Astyanax mexicanus: one gene and its partners. The protein of the gene in region 1 interacts with the protein of each later gene in a pairwise test. Links are inferred from orthologs where the notes say so. Each region holds a gene or a part of one and is shown in the gene's direction. Other genes may lie near its edges. The genes, in order: atxn1a, ccnk and zhx3b.

Region 1 (7,639 bases):
CAAACACTTTGGAAAAGTCCCATCCGAGTCATGTTGAAGAAAAAATGACAGTGATTTTGCCGGCCTCTCTCTGAGTAAATAACATTTCTGGCCCTAAATTGAATGTTCGAAAACTCAAGCAGCAGCAGAGATAATGCACTTACATTTTCCCAGCTTGTTTACAGGGTTTTAACTGTGAGTGGTGGTCTAAAAGCCTTTTTAATGGGCAGAGCTTGATGTTTTTCTCTGTGTCTTCATTCGCAATTGCATCTGTCACCCCTAAACTTCACCTGTGGTTTTTAAGTGTTTCTGAGTGAGGACTGCTGAAGACATTCTCTCAGCTATGAAGGTGGATTCCAAGAATTTTAAACCTGAGGTAACGGGGTTCCGGTAACTTCCCCAAAGCTTACACGGCCTGTAGCAAGAAAAGTCATATACTATATTGCCAAAAGTACCGAGAAAGCTGCTCATTCATTGTTTCCTCTGAAACTAAGGGTATTAAAAGAGTATTTCATGCTTTTGTTGGAGTAACTGTCTTTACTCTCCAGGGATTTCTACTAGACTTTGGAGCATTGCTTAATTGCATTCAGCAGCAAGAGCAATAGAGAGGACAAGATGTTTGGATGATCATCACCCCAACTCTTCCTTAACTCATCCCAAATGTATTGGATGGAGCTCCACCATTCCAGAGAACACAGTTCCACTGTTTCACAGCTCAATACTGGGGACTTTTATACGACATTTTATCGACACCCAATTTTTTGCAATACAAACCTTTAGACAAGATAAGCTGTGTATGTGCATTAGCAACTCTGTGTCAACGATGGGTGTAACTTGAAGTAGGTAAAGACATTTAAAAGAAGGTGTGTTCCAATTTCAAACATTTAGTGTACTAAAAAAAGGGAAGTTATAAAATTTGCATATAAACAGGAAAATCAGCCAACATGAGATCATTTTTACTTTATAAAATGACTAAAAAAATGAATACATACTAAACACAAATACATAACAAACCCAAATTAATTACATTTAAGATTTCTGTTTATTTACACAGTTATCAGCACTTCTACTTACCCTGAACTCCTAATGATGTCACACAAAAGGATAAGGGTGTTTATTATTAGAAGTACTGTCTTACCCTTTGTGGTTTAGGCCAATTCCAGCATTATGTAAAAGGTATTTGGACTCATAATGTACTGCGATGTGTTGTGTACAGTATCGTGTGGTGCTGTAAACACAGGCCATGTGTGTATGTTGCACTGAGATCCAGGAGGAACGTTGTTTTGTTCCATGTTGTATTTGTGTATGGTTGGGAGTTCTTGATCTTGATCTCAGAGCACAAGGTTAGCACCTGTTATATAATGTGAATATGATGTAACCATTTCAGGTGAATACAGGCATATCTTCAAACCTTCAATTAAACATTCAAACCTTTAAACCTACATGTTACTAGTACAGTGTATGGGGCACATAATCAACAAATAGTTGTTAATATTTAAACCAGCTTTGTTAGCAAAAAATAACAATAATTTCTTATTATATATAAGTTAGTTGACAGACTTGCTGGGTTAAGCTCTTTCAAACAGTTCAATGGTTCAAAATACAAAGTTATAAATAATAACTAAAATTATTTTAACAAATTTTATACTTTGATTATTGAAGTAGAGGTTTGGGATTTTATACAACTTTATACAAATGGGTTATGGGCAGACCTTTTTGAGCATATTGTGTTGATTTTACGGATTTTTATATATTTGTATGCGTTGCATGATTTTTACTTCCTACTTATTTACAGTAACACTAACAACGTGAAATGAATAACATTTACAGTATTATCTGGTTACTATTGCACCTGCTAAGCGATGGAATATACAATATTAGGCAGCAAGTGAACTGTCAGTACCTGAAGTTGATGTGTTGGAAGCAGGAAGCCACTTTGATATGGTCTAAATAGTGATGGCTAGATAACTGGGTCAGAGCACATCCGAAAAATTAACCAGGTCTTGTGGGGTGTTCACATGTATACAACGGTCAGTACCTACAAAAAAGTGGCCTAATATTCACGGGGAACAAAGACATGCTTAAAAATAAAGATCTGATGGTAATGTCTGAATGACATGCCAAAAGTCACGGGATAGTAGTATATAATTTCTCTCATAGTGTACTGTACAACCCTGTGTCAGTATGATGACAATAATGGTGAATGCTAGAATGCCTGCTAAGGCTGTGATATAAAATATTAGGCAGCAAGTAAACTACCAGTATTTATAGGGAGCAAAAACATGTTTAAAAAAAGATCTGATGCTAATATTTGAATGGGATATTAGTATGTACTGTAAATTGATCATGAAGTGTTGGAATGCACTGGAGATCTTGTCCTGTTGTAGTGTACAGCTCTGTATCAGTATTATGGAACTGAATTGAGCGGTGCATTGTGGTGAAGTCCTTGTTTTGACAAGTCAAGGCTGTTTTAGTACCTACCTACACAATATGAGGCAGGTGCTTTTAAAGTTATGGCTGGTCCGTGTACAGTATACTGCCTACACACTTTATTGCAGTGATGGTGTCCCAGATTGAACGCAGTACCATTATGACATTGACATGGTCATTTGAAAGTGCTTTTATTCTTTTATAAGTGAAGCTAACATTTGCATTCAATGCATGCCCTTTTTAGTCTGTTATAACCTCTAACAGATTTATGCACAAGTCTCCAGTCTGCTGCTTCTGAACTGACTCTGAATGTAAGTAAGTAAGCCCTGCTAAAGGCTGCCCCCCTCCTCCTCGGGTTTTTTTTTATGAAACAGCCCAGGCTTCAAAGCCCTCAGCTAACGGGGCCGGCCAACTGCTCCATATTTGGGTTACACATTCACACACTCACACACGTACACACGCCCTCTCTCTCTCTCTTACACACACACACACACACACATATACGCACGCACACATACACACATACACACACACGCGCGCACGCACGCACTCACTCACTCCCTCGGTCACACACTTCCAGGAGGTGGGGGCATAGAGCCACAGAGCTATTAGCTCTGCTGCAGCAGACGTCGTGCTAGTTGAGGGGAGACGGTTCCACCGGCTAAAGCGGGCGCAGGAAGCCCCAACACGGAGAGCCGCGCACTTCACTGCCCGCTACAGCGCACAGTAAGTCCGCCCAATGCTCACCGGTTCTCCTGCCACTTTTACCTGCCTTTCCACCCCGAGTGAGAGAGAGAGTAGCGGAGAGAGAATAAAATGGCTGGAGCGAAAAGGAGACGCAGCGGATCAGAGACTGGCGTTCATATTTAAAAAAAAAAAATACAAAAATAAAGCTAAAAACTGAATATTTATCTTACTTTACCTGCTCTATCCAAATCCGTGCGTCTGATACAGTAAGTTTGACTGGATGACACCGTGCAGGGAGGCTGTTAAGTGAGTCTAAAACTAACACAACAACTCGAAGCGCAGAGCAGAGTGAGCGAGAGTAAGTGGGAGAGAGGGAGTCAGAGCGCGGGGGTTGGGGCGAGGCGAAGCCGGCCAGGGCGCGCTGTGGCCGGGCTGCTGAGGGAGGAGAGGGCGCTGGCCAACTTCCCCACAAGCTTCTCCGCTAACTAAGCTACACACGGCTCCGTGTTTTCGCACAGCGCTAGATAGTCGTTTGTACTTTTTGGAAACCGCCAGCGTGTCGCTTGTCGTGGCTTTTTAGCGTAGTTTTGTCTCTGTTTCCTAGCTGAGGAGACTCGCTTATGGGAATCGGGCTGCTGAACCAGAAAACACACAATTGCGGAAGTGTTGCTACGCGCTACGCTGTTTATTCGTAGAAACGGGGCGCCTGAGTTAACGTTACTGACAGCTCTCTCTCTCTTTCTCTCTCTCTCTCCTCAGCCACCACCGCGCTGAGTAAAGGTGACAAACAGCAGCTGGAGTTCAGCTCCTCCATTCATACTGTTTCTACTTAAAGCGGGATTGAGTGTGTTTCATTGACACTGCTGTGTGCGTGTGTGTGTAGTTAGCCTCCGGTGTGTGTGAGTGTGTGTGAGTCCAGCTCTGCTGGTTATATAATGAGCTGCTGGGATCTCTTCTGCTCCAGCTTACAGTATCTCCCTCTCTCCTCCTCCTTCTCCTCCTCCTCTTCTGTTAGTTTACATTCACATTATTTTATAACTGTGCCTTAAACACACGGAGATATATATGACTTCCTAAAAATATCGCTGTTTATTTTAACTGCAAAAAAAATATGGAACATTACAGTTGATGAAGGTGCTCGTGCTCATCTTACTGTATTGCATAAAGAGAAAAAGTTATGCAGTCAATAAAATATATGAATTATTAAATAGTAATAATAATAATAGTTGTATTATATAAACAAAATAGTTTTATTTTGATAATAATGTATAATTGCAATTGACTTCATTTGCCTAGGGGTGGACTGTTGCCCTCTGACCCTGTCCAATAAAGATCACTTTAATGCATAAACAAACAAATAAATTAATAAATAGAATGTATTTTCAATTTTAAGTTATTCACAACCTGCTCACATTCCCAGTGTGGTAAAGTAAGTAAGTAAAATTTATTTATACAGCACTTTTCACAGAGAGTAGACACAAAGTGCTTTACAACAACAAAAACATAGAAAATAAAATATACAATTGCCTTCCTAAAACATATACAATAAAATAAATAACAAAAGGAGAACACAGTGTTGCCAGGTACAGTTATCCAAATGCACGTTTAAAGCTTACTTTATCACAAAAATAAAATAAAATAATTAACATATTTATCAAAATATAGATAACCATTAACTGACAACTATCGAATTTGAAGCAGAATTAATGATACTATTTTAATAACATAATAGAAATAAATGTAATAACATTAAATGTATTTAAAGGTCCCCTTCCAATTAAGGTCACTTAAATGCATATGTAAATAAATAAATACATAAATAGAATTTATTTGCATTTAACCGCCATTCACAATCAGTCACAACCATATTTATTAAAATTATATAGAAACAGAATTATTGATAATTTGTTAATATCATAAAGAATTAAATGTACTTAAAAGTCCCTGTCCAATAAGAGAAACTTTTTCAATGCCTATGCAAATAAATAAATAGAATGTATTTGCCCTTTTACATTTCCTGTACTAAAAAAGCTTACTTTATTGTAAAAAGGGTAATTAAAAGCCCCTGTCCAAGAAAGGTCATTTTAATGCAGCATATCTAAATGTATTTGCATTTTTACTGTCATTCACAACCTGCCCACATTCCCTGTGCAATAAAAAGCTACTTTATTGCTAAAATAGGAAGTTAATTATTTAAGATTATTAAAGATAATAACAGAATTAGTGATACTGTAATAATAATATTAATATATATATATATATATATATATATATAATTAGGAGTTTCTAGATTATTGACATCAAATGGATGTTGATCTGAAGTAGAAGTGCTCAAATACTAAGCTTCAGTACAATCCAGTACATGCTACTTTACTGCATGCAAATATAAATAGGCCTACATCACTAAAATAAAATAAATGCATAAAGGAAATGCACTTTTTTAAACCATTTCTTGTCACATTGATGCTCAAGGTACTCATTTTATTGATCTAATGCAGGTCAATTTAATGCAAATATAAACAACAAACAAATAAATAAATGTATTTGCATTTTTCGGTTATTTATAGCATTGTATGTGCAGTTGAGGTGTTCATGTATCTTCACAAGCTCAGTCAGCTTCATTAAGCACTCATAAATGAAACAATGAATGAATGAATGGATGAATGAATGAATAATTGAATGAATGAGTAATGAGTAACCAATACAGTCGCATTGTTTTCAGATGATTCATAATGTCATGTATGTGATCAGGCTGTTTGGTTTCCCTGCTCAAGCTGGCAGTGGCTCACTGGAGCAGAACTGGAGCAGATATGTTGTTTTCCAAGCGAGAAAAAAAAAAGTTTTTAATCTCAAGAGTCTGACACGGAGGCGTTAATGCATCTAGCAACCGAAGAGGGAGTGTTGCTGATACAGACATAAGTGAAACAGTTATACAAGCCTCAGGATGCCACGGAGAGGGACGGATCTGTTGTGTTTCTCGCTCCTTTCCAAGCTGCTCTGGTTATATGATCCTCTAACTAGACTGTATCGTGCAGCTGTAAGATCATAAGAGCTGAGCGAGGAGTGTTGTGGAGCCGTTGCTTATGGCTGTTCTGTGAAGATGTGCTTGGAGCCTATTGTGGTGCTGTGTCAGGCCTCCAGTGTTGATCTATCCTCAGCACCACTTAATTTTAAATGCTGATGAGTTGTAATTAAGACAAAGTGTGGCCTAATCACAAGCGTGCTTGTGCGTCAGCTCATTTGTCTGTGTTGCACACACACACACACACACACACAAGCACATGCGCACACCCACATACACCCTAACACACACCTGCCACTGGCTCCTAAGTTGCTCATTCTTGTCAGTGTTTCTGTGTAAGTGCAGCTGCACCTTTAAAGGCACTAAATGTGTCGTAACGGGCTCAGTGAGCTGGAGCATGGCGAGCGGGTGACAGGTGCAGGCGAGGCTAACCTTTCACGCTCGAGTGCCAGTGAAATATGGAGGGACACACCTCCACCTGCAGATACGGCTTACATAATACAGCTGTGATTGACAGGGGTAGTGTCAGCCAATGACAGAAGAACTAAAAGTTAGTTAACGCTGCGAAAGGGGCGTGACTGGCAACAGCCTCAAAAACTTGGCTTCACCTTCACTTTTTCCTGAGAACACTTTGTCACATTAGGCCTATCCGGACAAGATCTTTGCATACACTCCCTTACAGGTGTGTGTGTGTCTGTGTGTGATTATGAGTGTGTGTGTGTGTGTGTGTGTGTTAGGGCTGCAGAAAAAACACCCTAGTTGTGATTGCACTGCTATCTATATTATTTGGAACTGCCATATTGAGTTACAGTTTTGCGAGAACCTTTGTTGTGGTTCACTTTGTGGATACCCATTTTAATTAATGCATTGAGCTGCTTTAAGTTGATTACCCATTGCTGACAAAGATGTGCAAATGCACATACATGCACAGTTTGTCTAGTGCCTATATAGAAGGATTACCAATAAAATAGGACTCTCTGGAGCAGATAGATATGAACCACATTTGTATGGGAGTATAAATGCCCTCCAGCAATGAGCTGTGGATCAGTGAAACTGTGTTCTGTGGAACGATGGTGCGCCATCCAATACTTTTGGGATGAGTTGGGGAGTTAGAGGTTGGTTTCAGTGATGATGACATCCAACATTCTGGCTTTACTAATGCTGTTGTTGCTGAATGCATTCAAATCCTCACAGCAATTTTCCACAATCTACTCCAAAGCTGCTCAGTCTGCTATACAGCAGAGAGACAGTTACTCATACTATGACAGTTTTCCTAAAGTTTTATCAAAACATTTTGATATACTGTATCATTTTGGTTACAGTATCGCAATATATTGCAATATATTGAATCATAACCCCTGTATTGTGATACTTGTTATCTTGCTAGATACTTCCCAATACACAGCCTTAATCTGAAGTGCAAGTACCAATACATCAGTACATAATAATTATGAACAGATGATAAATCACACAGTCATATAGTTCATACAAGACTAGATCAGCTCAGCCATGTTGATGACA
Region 2 (7,639 bases), on another chromosome or scaffold:
ATGGAGCGTAACAAAGGTCAGCCGCTTCCCAGCAACAAGAACTGTAAAGACAGGCCCATACTGGAAAACAATACAGCATGCTCATTTAGAAGAATAAACAACAACACAAAATACTATTTACATGCTGCATGATGTCCAGACCAGCTATAACTTTAGTTTTGTTGTTGTTGTAGTTTGTTGTTGTTGAAACACATTAAACTTTAAAACTGTCTGTTTTAAATTCAAATAATTAAATAAGTCCACTGCCTTTGAAATTAGACTACTGTCTACTGTCTTTATCTACTATCCCATAGAAAGAAATGGACAAATTATGTTTCTTTTTTTTCTTCTGCAGATATCATACCAAAAATACTTATCAAAATGAATAAGCATCAATCAAATTTAAATGTTAAGCTGTTAGCTAAACTTACTTTCTGAGAATTGTATGTTGTAGTTGTTTTACTCATGTTGTGGTTGAGTCTAAATTAAAAGACAATGCTGAAATAGCTTGACAACTAAAATAAATGTTGTCTCTCATCAGTGTTTCTCTCAACACTTCTACCTGCTCACAACGATACTATGATACACTATGATACAGCAACTCTACTGTGTTTCTGTGTGTCCAAACACAGACACTCAACACTGCTGCTGAAAGGGGAGGAGCTGGACTTCTGACCTTTCATAGTCCTCTAAAGATCAGCAGAGTGTGATGTCATTAACATCTGGCTATTCAGGAGGCTGCATTTATAAGGAGTACATGAAATGTTAGGGACTTGTAAATAACATCCATGATAATCTGATTTTAGATTTGATTTTACTGCAGATTAATTTTTATATTATTACTTTTATATATTCAAAACTCCTTAATGTGAAACAACACTGACAACTGTGAAACATTAATACGTAATATTGTACAACAGTCGATGTGTTTGCTTTAACTTATCTTATAAAGTCTGTAAATGTAGTGCATCTCCTAAAAAACTGTAGTGAAAAAAACATATCCATCATGTTTTTTTACAGTGCCCCTTCTTGCTATAAAAATATAAAAAACAGGTATAAAAAAGCTGTTACAGTAGGAATTTAACATTGATATGGCATTTTGGACAATATAAGGTCTGCAGGACGTGCTGCTTTTAACACTGAGACGCTTACCTTAGCTCTTGCACGTGCAATGAAATGCAGAGGCTCTTTTCCAAACTCAAAGGCAGCTCCAACCCACGGGATCCATCCTCTGATGCACGGAGGGGCGTTCGGGTTGTTCTGAAGGAAGAGAAGCCGAAAACAAAGGACGACGACAGTCACTAAGAGAAGTAGGGTAAACCACTCCATCACAGTTAAGTAGTTTAACGAACGCTCTCCTGTCCGGCTAGTGGTTTCTCCTCAGTCGTGGGACCGATATTAACAGGGCCAGTATACCAGGCTGACTCCCCTACAGGACAGGCGCCGCTACTTCAGCAGCCCACACTGACCGGAGGAATACCCGCCAGAGAGTCTCCCCGGGTAAATGAGTTCACATGGAGCAAATAATCAAAACAAGAGCTCATCTATGTTTAAAAAATATTCTCTAAATATAGAACCACAGTAAATATTTCAGTAATGAAGGCATGTAAGCCTATACGTTTTCAGACGTGCTCTGGCTGCTACTTCATAATCAGCTCATCAACTTTCTAGAATTAAAGACATTTCCTGGACAAGCAGTTAGTTACTGGTTTTTAGTTTACTGATTTTAGTTTTTAGCCTTTTATCTCCATTCATTCCTATACATTTATAACTTAATTCAATCAATTCAATATTGATTATTTTGTTTTAAACTTCACTTAAATATAAACGGCCCCACTGACTGTGGTAAAAAGTGATCCCCTTCAGTGAAGAAAATGTGATGTGTTCCCCTTATAGATTTCCTCATAATAGGATAGAGTTAACAACAAAATGAACTGTGTCATCAATGATCACAAAGTTTAAAAAGCATAAACTGTTACTTATTTTCCTTTAAATGGAAAATCTCCAATGAAAATACTGTGTAGTCCATTGTACCAGAAACAACAAAAACAATAATAATAACAATAATAATAATAATAACAATAATAAAAACAATAATAATAATAATAATTATTATTATTATTATTATTGTTGTTGTTGTTGTTATTATTGTTGTTATTATTATTTTTGTTGTTATTGTTATTATACACATAAAAAAATAATGTAGGATTTCACACATAGGTTTAGCTGTGTTCAATATGCATGCTAATTAATGCCAGTTAAGTGTATATACTTTTTTTTACTTTGATAAGTGATCCCACCACATGTTGGTGGGAGCTCCAGGCATGAGGTGCAGAGAGTGGAGAGATTGTGGAGAGAGTGGAGAGATTGTGGAGAGAGTGGAGAGGCAGCAAGCGGAGGAGAATCATTCTCCACCAGTTGGGGGCGACCGTCGCTCTTATCTGTTTGAAGCGTCCTCCCCGCGCGAGGAAGAGTGCGGTGCGGCTGTGTGTGTGTTCCTGTGTTCAGGTGTGAAAGAGAGCTCAGAGAAGCGGCGCTGCACGCGGTGTAGAGCGCCGGTATTCTCACAGTGCTCCGGGCCGGGCTGCGGGAGAGTCTGCGGGCGCTGAGGGAGAGGAGCGGAGCTGAGCTTCAGTGAGAAGGAGCCGCGGGTCCGCCGGCCGCGCTGAGGAGAAGCAGCAGCTCTTTGTGCCTCCAGCTTTGTGAGCAGCACTTCCGATCTGTGTCAAATGAAGGAGAACAAGGAGAACTCCGCTCTCAGCAGCTTGACCACTAATCTGGACCACATCAAGCCATGTTGGTACTGGGACAAGAAGGACCTGGCCCACACCCCATCCCAGTCCGAGGGCCTGGATCCGGCCACTGAGGCCCGATACCGGAGAGAGGGGGCCCGCTTCATATTCGACGTTGGAACTCGACTGGGACTGTATCCTTCATTTCCTTCTGCTCGTGTTGTTTTAAAACCCTGTATTACTGTGTGCTGATGCGCGACTTACCGCTTTAACCTGTTTACCCTTAACATTTCCTCCTTCAACAGACACTATGATACTCTGGCCACAGGGATTATTTACTTCCATCGCTTCTACATGTTTCATTCCTTCAAGCAGTTCCCGAGATATGTAAGTGTGGTCCGGCTCTGTGTAACACTGTCTTGAAACAGTACTGTAGGTATGGGGATAAACCACCCCAGATTTGCACTGGATCCTATTTACAGTGTACAAACAGTTCCTGATTTGTTTGTAAAAAAATTTGTGAAGAAAAAAAACAGGAGTCAGATGCATACTGCCCATAATTATATTTTTATTATATATATATATATATATATATATATATATATATATATATATATATATATATATATATATATATATATCATATTATATATTATTTTATAATTATATTTGTGATGTGCTTTTTGCCATTGTAGTTTTGCCAAAGTGGTCGTATTCTGTCTTTGTAGGACTCTGGGGGGTCTGTAGATATTAATGAATTAAAATGTTATTTTTATGTAATAGGCATTTTAATTAATAATAAATATTTATTGACATAAAGATAATGGTCAAAGACTTTGTGTAATAACGTGGTTTATTAGTATTTTAATAACAAGGGGATAAATAGTTCCAGTGTTTTTCCAAATAATTAACAAATTAATGTAAAAGTGTAACACTTTTTATTTAAAGAGCGATATAGGAAAAAAAAATGTATAGTTGCTTACCTAAATGGCAACATGTAAAACTTTCCATTAAGCTTACAAATCCTGTATATTAAGTAGCTTGGTTATCTCAACATTTTATGTAGTCAGCAATTGAATAATGACAATGGCAATTTAAATCACAACGGATCAATAAATTAATATTCAGTAAATGGTTTAATTTGTCAAGTAAATAAAAAAAATGAAAGGAATAAAATGGGCATCTTAAAATTGCTTACAAGTCCAGGTAGGACAGTCCTGCCCAACCATATTGGTGACCTCTGCTTCACATGAGTCTTACCTAATATCTCTCATAAGCTATGATTTAGTAATATTTTAATGGAGGGCAGTATTGTTGGGATGAGGGGCGAGAAGTGGAAAGAGTTCATGGATGCCTGTGGGTTACTGGCACAGTCTTTTAACAAACTTGTGACAAGTCAACATTTATTTTCTTATCAACTAAAAAAACATAGCATAACAGTACCGTTGGAATACGGTTATTTATCATTATGTTGCTTGACATTGTCCTACAACAGTTTAGGTGAAAGAGGTTGTTTTGCTTTAATTTTCCAGGTCACAGGGGCTTGCTGTCTGTTCTTGGCTGGAAAGGTTGAGGAAACTCCAAAAAAGTGCAAAGACATAATAAAAACAGCTCGCAGCCTGCTTAATGATGTGCAGTTCGCCCAGTTTGGGGATGATCCAAAGGTAAACATAGAGTCAGAAGCACATACTGTAAGGTCTGTAAGTATTCAGCACCTTATTTTATTTCCATATGTAAGTAGTAAAACAAGTTGAGATTACAGTCTTGTCAGCATTTTACACATTGGAATATTTGCTGGATCAGTTTAATTGTTTTTTCATTATTCTGAAAATAAATAGCTTGAAGGATGCTGCAAAGAAGCAAACACTCTAGTTGAATACATTTAGCTTAAATTGTTTTCTAAAAGGCATATGTAACATATGGACTTGTACATTTAAGTTTTTTGTTACATTTTTACTTTGTAGTGTTTTGATTTGAAGACATTCAGATTCTGAAAACATGCCTATTTCTGACCTCAAACTGTACTGTAAATGTTGATTTTTGTGAATAGTTTGGTTTGTATAACTTTTATTAACAGGAAGAAGTTATGGTGTTGGAGAGAATATTGCTTCAGACAATAAAGTTTGATCTGCAAGTAGAGCATCCATATCAGTTCCTTTTGCGTTATGCCAAACAACTCAAAGGTATATGATTTTGGTGCCATTTTTGATGTTGCATTACAGACATTTAGGTTTTGTTTGTTTATTTATTTGCATGTTTGTTTGTCTTGTTAACTGCTGTTTTTCAGGAGACAAGAACAAAGTGCAGAAGCTGGTGCAAATGGCCTGGACCTTTGTGAATGACAGGTTAGCATTAAAACCAACCTGCATTTTAATTGTCCTTCTCATGGAGAGCTGTTTGGTTTATTGTAAATTAGAGCAATCTGCAATTGTGAAATTTAGGGAATTATTATTCATTTTTAATATTAAAGATTAAGCAGACTGTGTGGTATAAGCAATTTTGTTTGGTTTTTCCAGCCTCTGCACAATGCTGTCTCTTCAGTGGGAGCCAGAGATTATAGCTATTGCTGTCATGTACTTGGCTGGTCGTCTGTGCAAGTTTGACATTCAGGAATGGACTTCCAAGCAGTCATCCCGTCGCTGGTGGGAACAGTTTGTGCAAGATGTTCCTGTGGAGCTGTTGGAGGGTAGGATGCTTTAATGTGTATTTAAATGTGTGTGTGTGTGTGTGTGTGTGTGTGTGTTATGGGAGTGCTAAAACTGAACAAGATGACACAAAAGTCTTTATAGCAAGTTTGAAAGATAATTGCTTGCCTTTCTTTCTCAGATATCTGCCACCAAATCCTGGATCTATATTCTCAGGGCAAGCAGCCCATTCCACAACAGCCCCAGTTGCAGGAGAAAGACAAGCCACCGCTACCTCCTGCAGGCCAGCCAGGCCAGTCTGGAGGTCAAAACCCTGCAGCTCCACCTCCACCTAAGAAAAACTCTCCCCAGGCCAGCCCCCCACGGCAGCTTAAACGACAGCACGTTAGTTGAATATTTATTTTGTCAGAGTTGTTGGGTTGAAAGGCTTAATTTAATGTTTGTATATGTAATTAATTTTATTTTAAGTAAATATGTTGAGATTATTAATGCTTAGCTGTACATTTGTACCATGTCAAATATTTTTGGTTTAAACTTTTATTTCATGTCCATTACAGATAGATGGCTTGTGAGATGTGTAGCGAACATACAAATACACTGTTAATTGTTGAAAAAATAGCTGCACCATGAAGGAAGTGTTTGATTTTTAGATTCAGGGCTTACCCAAGCGTAACTCTAACCCTAAAATGCCACTTCTTCTTCAACTGCACGAATTGTATTGGAAATCTTCTCCACTTGTAAGGGATACTACCAAGAGCAGGATTCATAATAAAAAGCATTCTTATATAATCAGTCAGGATTTGCATCATTGTGAAAATTAGTTATATGCCCCATGACTGATTATGCATATATGCATGAAGTGAGGCATAATTGTCAAGGATGTAAGCATTTTTATCTTTAGTCATGAACAGTACTCCCCACTAAAATGAATTGCTAGTTATGTATTGAAAATTATTTTTAATCCTCTTTTTTTAGGTTTCGCCAAAAGAAGAGTCAAAAGTTGCCACAGGTATAGATCGGCTTTTTTCCTAGAACTATTTAAGCTGGTTACAAATGTGCTGTTTGTCAATGACGTTTTTGTTTAACTTCATGCATGCTAAACCTTTTTTGTTTTTATTTGCAGAGCAAATTGGCTCTAAAATACCACGGCTAGAGAGTCCAATGCCTCCCTTACCAGTTACTCAGCTACTTGGTAAAAACCTCAGTTGTTGCACTGTTCCAGGGTTAGGTTTAATACTTGTCTAAGAAAACTGAACCAAATTACCTAGTAAAAGTTTCAAAATATAATTGACTTATTTAATTACCATCTTTGAAGTTCTTTAAATAATTTTAACATTTTCATGTATTGATGGTTGTAAAACCGAGCTTAATACTTAGTTTAAACAAACTACACTAATAAATTTGGGTTAATATTTTTTTACTTCAATACTTTAAATGTTTCTCTATTTAGATCGCAAAGGCCCACCCTTAGCCCCGGCCCCTCCAACAGAGACAGAACCAGCAGCCTCAGCTGACTCAGACTTATCCAAGGCACCTCCTCCTCTGCCCCATGGAGCTCCACCGCCTCTGCCTCATCGGCCTCCACCTCCACCCCCCTCCAGCTACATCATGGGAATGTCCACTTCTAGTTCATATATGTCGGGTGAGGGCTTCCAAAGTCTGCAGTCCATGATGAAGACAGATGCACCATCATATGCCCCTATGCCCCCTTCATATGGAATGCCTTATCACCCGCACGTTTACCCTCCTCCAAACCCTCCACCTCCTGGCCCTCCACCACCTGCAAATTACCCACCTCCTAACCTTCCACCGCCCACCCCGGCCTACCCTCCACCAGGCTACAATCACAATTACCCTCCTCCTCCCCCTCGCATGCCCCCAGGACATGCGGTTCCTCCGCCAGGAATAGGTTTGCCTCCTGCTGGGTATCCCCCTCCGCCAGTCCCCCCAGGCCAGCCGCAGGTACCCATGCCCCCTGGCATGCCGCCAGTGTCTGGGATGAATCGCGGAGCATGGATGAGATGAAGACGGGTTGTGTAAGGGGTGCAGCTGAAGCTCATTTCAAAATACCGTCTACCAAAAGCATCATCAGTCACCTAACTCAGGAAGGTCAGAACGTCATTGTATTGTTTAGTCATGTTATTTGTTTGTGAGAAACTCATGACTTACACTATTAACCTTTATTTGATTTTTGCCTGATTTCTGTTTTAAGGATATAGATGTAGAATCTTCATGTTTAGAAATATTATATATATGTGACGTTAGCATGTTTTTTTTTTTTTT
Region 3 (7,639 bases), on another chromosome or scaffold:
TAGGGATAAGTGGCTCAATTTAAGATAAATGTTCTTTCCTTTATAGCCTCTTTTAATCCCTTAACACTCTCTTACTCACATTCTCTTGTATTCTCTCACCATTAACACTGATAACTCGCCTCTTTTACACTTTTTACACTCTAAATACTCTCCTACTACTCACTTATTCTCTGTCTCTCCCCAGTCGTTATCACAATTTAATCTTGTTTACACTCTCAACTCTCTTTGTAATCTCTCTCTCTTCATATTCGAACAGTCTCCTTTTTTTTTTACTCACTCACACTGTCACTCCTTTATACTTATTTTCTTTCTCTCTACACTCTCATATCAATGGCTTTCTCTCCATTATACTCTCATACTCATTTATACTAACAACATACTAACATCTTCTCTGTCTTCTATATTCCATCATTTATACTGTCTTTGACTCTTTATACCCTCATACTCTCTCTTTATTCATATGCACTTTCATGACAAATTCAATATACTCCTCTTTATACATTAATACTAAAATTTTCTGTTTTACAGTCTTATTTAAACTCTCTCACCTTCTACACGTTGTATATAGATTTTTTTATACATATTTTGGACACTTCTGCCCTGTCCTCTACACTGCTGTAATATTGTAATTACTAAAGGATAATCTTATGCTCCAGTCCTCACACTCTTCCCTATACCCCTTATTTTTGTCTTTTATAGTTTTTCTTTTATACTGTCTGTCAGCTTTTGCATCCTCATACTCATTTGTTTACTTACATTTACACTCATTCATAGTCTTTACCATTAGACAAACATATTTTACGAATATAGTCTCCCTAATACTGTTTGTTTCCTTTATATATTCACATTCTCTCACTCTAATTTGTGTTTATACTCTCTTCTCTATACTTTAAGTCTCTTTCACCCTCTACTTCTCTTCTATACTCCTCTTACACTCCTTTTATCACCTTTATACCACAATACACATTCACTCACTCACTCACCTTCACTCCCCAATACTTCCATTCTCTCTGATCCTTTTATATTCAAAATAAACCTCTTTACACTTTTGTACTCATTCACACCCTCCTATTTAAGTGCTTATAGTCTCTCACACCCAGTCTCTATCGCTGTACCCATGTTTTACACTCAAACCTCTCACTTTTAACATTGTGTGCAATGTCTCTACTTACATACTGTTTGTTTACTTGGTCACTGAATACCAAAACACATATTTTGGGAAATTATTTTTCATTATCATATATTTTTGGTATATTTTTGTGTATATTTCCTGACATTTTTGTGTTGCTGTAATATTGTAAACTGGGTGGCATTAATACTCCATACTCTCTCTCTTTTTTACATCCTCATACTCGTATTTCAATACTCCCAATCTCTCTTTCTCTAAATCCTATATTCTCTGAACTACTCATTCTCTCTGATTTCTATACTCAAATACTCGTATTCTCTCTCTGATTACAATACTCAAAATACTCACATTCTCTCTCTGATTACAATACTCAAAATACTCACATTCTCTCTCTGATTACAATACTCAAAATACTCACATTCTCTCTCTGATTTCTATACTCAAATACTCACATTCTCTCTCTGATTTCTATACTCAAATCCTCGTATTCTCTCTCTGATTACTATACTCAAATACTCACATTCTCTCTCTGATTACTATACTCAAATACTCACATTCTCTTTTTGATTACAATACTCAAAATACTCACATTCTTTCTGATATCTATACTCAAATACTCACAATCTCTCTCTGATTACTATACTCAAATACTCACATTCTCTCTCTGATTACAATACTTAAACCCTTACAAACTCTCTCTCAATTATGTACTCAATTACTTACATTCACTGACTTTGATTTATAGTTACTCATATTTTCTGAATTCTATACTAAAAAACTCACATTCCCCCTCTGATTTCTATACACAAAAATGCTTAATTTTTTTTCTTTCTTTGACTTGTATAGCCAAATACTAACATTCTCTCTCTGATTACTATAGCCATATATAATGTGTTTATATGTACCTTATCCTCCCACACTGCTTTGCTGCTCACTGCTTTACTCCATGTGTTCAGTTTGACTCCGTTACTCTGAGCTGCTGATTCCTCTTTCTTCTTGCTGCTGCTGGTGCTGTTCTTCATTCTCGGGTTCGGGTTCTGGTTCTGTCTCGATCTCGGATGAGTTTTGTGGTTTTATGTTTTTAAGCTGCAGCTTCTTTTGGCTCTATTTCGCTTTCAACGCCGTTCATTAATGCTGTGTGCTAAAGCCTCACTGCGCATGCGCCTCTCTGGCCATTCAGACACTGCGACGTCTGTACTTCTCAACCAATCAGAAAATTTCCTTTAAATCCGAGAAATGGCAAGGAAAACACTAACAGCGCCACCTGTTGGAGAGGAGTGCGCAAGGAAGCGTTAAATAAATAAATAAATAAATAAATAAATAAATAGTGCACTATGAATTCAATTAACCATACAGTATTATTTTACGCTATATGATAATAAATCAACAATGTAAAAAAAGATAACTAATAATATTTAACTTAATGCATAGATTATTTCTCATTATTAATTAAAGTTATTTACAGTAGAGTTAAATAAAATAGTGAACAAGAAATAAAGTAATAATACAATCAAACGAAACCATAGTCAGTCATAAAACATTCAACATCAAAACAAAAATGACAAAAATACAGTTATATTAATACATACATTTATTTTTATTATTAATTAAAGTTATTTACAGTTAAATATATAAACAGTTAAATCATAAAACATTTGACATCAAAACAAATGACAATAAACAGATATATAGTTCAGTAAAAGTGTTTATTTCATTTTAAAAATGTTTTAGGAACATACAGTCTAGGTGAACGTGCAATAGAAGAAAGCATAAATGCAATACAGTTAAAATATTTCTCAAATTAAACAACATAATAAAATACATTACAGTCCTAACTCCCAAAAGTTAAAAGTAAAATGTGAACAATGTCAAGTCAATCCATCTAGTACAAATGAACAAGTACAAATAAACAGTGCAATGAAATTCTGTTCCTCCGGAACCAATACAGTTCAACATGGAACAACAGTACAATATAGACAACAATAAAGTAAAGATGTTCAACAAATTGTGCAACATAGAACTAGAACACTCTATAAATTCAGCAGACATGAGACAATATAGTAGACAGGACAGTGCAGTACCAACACATTACAGTCTATTTGTGTGTAAGAATAAGGTGTAGAGATTTGTAACATACTGTAACAGGTACATGGTCACAGCAGGTAGAGAATATACCTTACTAGGTGGTATTCAGAATTAGCAGCAATTATTGCTAATAGGGATGGAAACAGTTTCAGTCACTGTGTATTGAGAGTGTTTGTGTATGTGAGGACTGAGGGGGTCATCTACAATGCAGAAGTAAATAAAAAACAGAATTAAATCATTTTCCAGTCGAAATAAACATACATTTTATTCACAATATAACTTGGAACACAAATTACATGTGATTTCCATGATGTTCTATTTGTGAAAGGTCTGGAGGGCAGGCAGGTAAGTTCAGCATCCTAGCTCTTCTTCTGTGAAGCCATGCTGCTCTAATGGGTAAAGTATGTGATTTAGCATTATCTTACTGTCCAATATCCAATGCCTTTCCTTAAAAAAATGTTGTCTGGATAGGCACAGATGTTCTTCTAAAACTCCTCTATACTGTTCATAATCTGTCGTAATCTGTCTCTATGTGTGTCTATCTGCAAGGCTGCAGGCTACCACCATCCGACCGTCCCAGGGCGTTAAATATAACACAGGCATTCGCTTTCGGAACGAAGAATTTGCGTGCAGTGAAAATGGTAAGCAGTTCATAAGGTGACCACCTGGTGGTTGAAATATAACTGGAAGTTTTCCTCATGCTTAACACAAAGTCTCTTTACAGATAGAGTCCTACCTTTCAACATAGAGCCAATCAGCTTGCTGGTAAAGCTGGAAGAGGAGGAGGGACAAGGTGGCACTATTGGAAAAAAGCCCCTAATGGATGTAATTGTGGTTGGTGGGTCCTGGGTCACCCTGTCAGTCAACTGTGGAGCTTCAAAAGCGGCAAAGGTAAGCAGGGAAACTGTGCCACTCACAGGCTTACACAGGAAAAGCTGATGTGGACAGACTTAAGTGTACCAATGAGACACAAAAACAACTGATGACATGACAGTAAAAAAAAAAAACACAAATGAATACAACAGTAATGTTTAAAAATAATATTAATAATTTTGTGATGTACAATTTTTAGTTTAAAGCTTCGGGTTTGGAATGGTTGTGAAGCCTGGATGTCAGTCTGTCTATCTGTTTGCCTATTTGTTTGTCTGTTTATATATCTATATATCCTAGAGTTGGACAATATACTGATATTTAATTTTATTGTGATAAAATGTCTTACTATATTGATAATAAGCATATTGAGAATACCATCCGTGCTTAAAGATTTTTATTACAGAGAGTGATCTGTGCACGAAAGAGTATTTATATTGCAGGATCTGCCACTGCTGTTGCTTTTTGTCTGTCAAAATATGGCTTTTATACAGTTTGCATCCATATCAGAATTACATTCTATTGACTGAAATTAATATATATACATTGTAATATATATATATATATATTTGCCTTATTGTCCAGGCCGAACACATACCTTTTATTTATTTATCAATACTATATAATAGATCTGATTCTCTCAGCATTAACAACTATTTAAAAAGCTTATGACCCTTCTTAAAAACGGCGAACAAATAAAAAATAATGGACCTGTTTTTTGCATGTAAGATAATTAGCTCTAGCCCATTTATCTGTCTGTCTGTCCAAAATACAGACTAATACACACACACACACACACACACACAGGGGTGGACGTGTTGCTTGCTAGGTCAAAATTTCAGCAAAACATATATTATGTGTTATATGTGTTATAGATTTTTGCGTCTGGCCCTAATATATCCCTACTATTTATCTATCACTATTATCTGTCTGTTTGTCTGTCCAAAATACAGATAAATAAAGACCAAAAACAACTTCAATTTCACATTAAACAGCACCAGCACAAACATTTAAAAAAGAATGAACAAACAATAATGAAATAAATAAAAAATATCAAAAACTACCATTGCTTTGAGTCATAAAAGAAATATAAATCAGAATAGGTCATCATTTCTGATTTATGCTCCTTAAAACGCTGAGACAATTGTGAATAAAATATTTTGCTGAAATTATGACCCAGCAAGCCACACACACACACACACACACACACACACACACACAGAGGTGGGTGTGTTGCTGCTCCATGATGTCAGCAGGGCTGAGCTGATGACGCAGCGAGCCACGTGACCCGCGGAGGTGGGGGTGCGTTTGGTGTCTCTGGGCCTGTTTGAGCACAGCGGCAGCAGCAGCAGCGCGAGCGGAATAAACACACGCGGAGAGGAAGGAGCAGGAGGCCGCGAGACCCGACCGCTCACTGTCTGTATCTCTCACCTGTCTAACGCTAAGCTCTCCATTCATTTACACCCGCGCGCTGCCCCGGGGTTCTGTTTGGACCGCGCGAGCGCTCGGTAGGTCTACTTTAGTACCTGTTTCTCTGTTTAGGGGGGCGCGCGCCTGTGGGGGCAACATAAACTGTATGTAGAGTTTTGTTTGTGTGCGTGCGTGCGTGCGTGCGTGCGTGCGTGTGTGTAGGGGGAAAGTTGCGCGCGCACGATTTGGGTAACTGAGGTGTGTATTGGGTAAGATGGCGACAGTAGAGGTGGGGGGCGAGTCTAGTTTTTTTGGGGTGGGGGGGCTTTTTGGGTTTGATGTGTGTGTGTGTGTGTGTGTGTGTTGGTGTGTGTGTCGCCCCGACACACTCCAGATGGCAACAATTCATAGATCAGGTCCAGGCTGCTTTCAGAATTTCTTGGTGTGTGTGTGTGCTTTGGTTTTATTGTGTTACTAACACACACACACACACACACACAGTTATTCTAGTGTTTTGTGTGTGTGTGTTACAGCCTTTATCTTTATCTAATATATATTAATATAACATAGCAGCAACTATTGTTCAGCACCTCCTGGAACTCCTTCAAGATGCTGAGAAAACTATTCTAGCTGACTCTCCCTCATGAAGACACTGAGATTAAAATACCAAGAGTGAGCAGATCTGTCCTCAAAGATATGTGTGATACTTAATTAGAAGAATCTATAGTATAAAACACATTCTTGTTTGTTTAACACCTTTTTTACCTTAAAAAATTCCATGTTTAGCTGTATAGCTTTAATATCTTTCATTTTAAATTTTAAATGTACATTATAACAAAATAATAGTAAAAAAAAATCACATTGGATGAGAAGCGGTGTGTCCAAACGGTTGTCTACTACAGTAAACCACAGTATAAAATGTCAAAGTTTTGACAAAGTGGATTGCCACCCTATAATTTAGTGGTGTAGATGTAAACAGTTATTTAGCTTTAGGTAGGGCTAGAAAACATTTCAATATCAATATATATATATATATAGTGAAACGTTTCAGTGGTGGTGATTGCGGCATCTGTCCCTGATGGAGTTTATTACAGGGCACATTACATCAACTGGGAAACTCTTGTCATCAGGTAGTTCTGAGGCTTTATTTAGGTATTATCTATTTAAATTTTAATGTATTGACTGAAATGAGGAAATCTCTTGTGTTGTAAATTTGCCCATATCATCCAGCTCAGGTTCAGAGAGGATTAAGTGTGAACTTGTGAAATTTGCTGTAGAGAAACTTCACACAGTGATGCTACTTACTCTGGCGGGAAATGTGTGGAGAGAGTGAGATATGCCAAAAGTTTTATCGTAATATATCTTATTTAGGGATGCACAATGATATCGAAATTCTCTCTGTATTGAGCAATAATAGCTTTCTTTTAGAAACATTGGTTCAATGCCTATATTTGGCCAATGTTTTACACTGATACTTGCTTATGTATTTATTGTATGCTGGCCGACACTGACCAAAAATTAAACTAATTTTTTAGGAGAAACCTTTCATTTTATTGTTGTTATAAAGCTGTTTGGAAGCTAAAATATAAGAAAAATATATGTTAAATTTGTTTTTTTTTTTTTAAGTTATACTGGGGTGTAAAGTCTCTCTGTAAGTTAATAAATAAATATGTATATTGGCATCGACATTGACTGATATATACATGAGTAATATCAACATCGACCAGGAATCCCCCGCATCTCCAATCTTATTGTGTGTAATATGTTGAGGATACACACACCGCATATGAATTATTGGTCAAATCTGTTATAGTGACATTGAGTAAATATTTCGTAAAAGAGTTCAGTTCCATCCACAGATTTAACATGTATTTATTAGGTCTGTAATTCAGATGTGACTGCTGTTCTTGCTTTTAGTTAATTATCAGCTGATAAAGGTTTGCATCATTATTTGTTTTGTCTGGCTTGGGAATGTCCGCACTTGAAGAAGATGTGAGGTGATTGTGTTGTGAGTGGTCAGTGTGCTCATGGTCTGATAGTGGATATAGATGGACGGGACACCCCTATCCCAACATTTCTGAAGTAGTGTGTCGGTAATTTGGCCTTCCTTGACCCACAGTCTACAGAGAATACACCATAGAAGGT

What was found.
Region 2: the proteins of atxn1a (region 1) and ccnk interact in binary tests that used the Homo sapiens proteins (3 or more experiments, as listed by UniProt). The link is inferred for Astyanax mexicanus from reciprocal best matches to the Homo sapiens genes ATXN1 and CCNK.
Region 3: the proteins of atxn1a (region 1) and zhx3b interact in binary tests that used the Homo sapiens proteins (3 or more experiments, as listed by UniProt). The link is inferred for Astyanax mexicanus from reciprocal best matches to the Homo sapiens genes ATXN1 and ZHX3.

Annotation. Positions count from the first base shown.
Region 1 is NC_064410.1:43,977,340-43,984,978, reverse strand, and holds the start of atxn1a (ataxin-1a), read left to right. Parts: upstream 1-2,959; 5' UTR 2,960-3,135; intron 3,136-7,639. UniProt on the Homo sapiens protein: Chromatin-binding factor that repress Notch signaling in the absence of Notch intracellular domain by acting as a CBF1 corepressor. Binds to the HEY promoter and might assist, along with NCOR2, RBPJ-mediated repression. Binds RNA in vitro.
Region 2 is NC_064408.1:54,981,785-54,989,423, reverse strand, and holds the start of ccnk (cyclin-K), read left to right. Parts: upstream 1-2,378; 5' UTR 2,379-2,708; coding exon 2,709-2,905; intron 2,906-3,016; coding exon 3,017-3,098; intron 3,099-4,243; coding exon 4,244-4,375; intron 4,376-4,788; coding exon 4,789-4,894; intron 4,895-4,998; coding exon 4,999-5,056; intron 5,057-5,227; coding exon 5,228-5,397; intron 5,398-5,537; coding exon 5,538-5,740; intron 5,741-6,331; coding exon 6,332-6,365; intron 6,366-6,479; coding exon 6,480-6,548; intron 6,549-6,806; coding exon 6,807-7,381; 3' UTR 7,382-7,639. Other genes in the region: 24-hydroxycholesterol 7-alpha-hydroxylase, read right to left, coding at 1-60, 1,132-1,308. UniProt on the Homo sapiens protein: Regulatory subunit of cyclin-dependent kinases that mediates activation of target kinases.
Region 3 is NC_064420.1:49,086,403-49,094,041, forward strand, and holds the start of zhx3b (zinc fingers and homeoboxes protein 3), read left to right. Parts: upstream 1-3,309; 5' UTR 3,310-3,855; intron 3,856-3,938; 5' UTR 3,939-4,105; intron 4,106-5,372; exon of another isoform or gene 5,373-5,592; intron 5,593-7,639. Other genes in the region: uncharacterized protein RAB5IF, read right to left, coding at 2,035-2,151. UniProt on the Homo sapiens protein: Acts as a transcriptional repressor. Involved in the early stages of mesenchymal stem cell (MSC) osteogenic differentiation. Is a regulator of podocyte gene expression during primary glomerula disease. Binds to promoter DNA.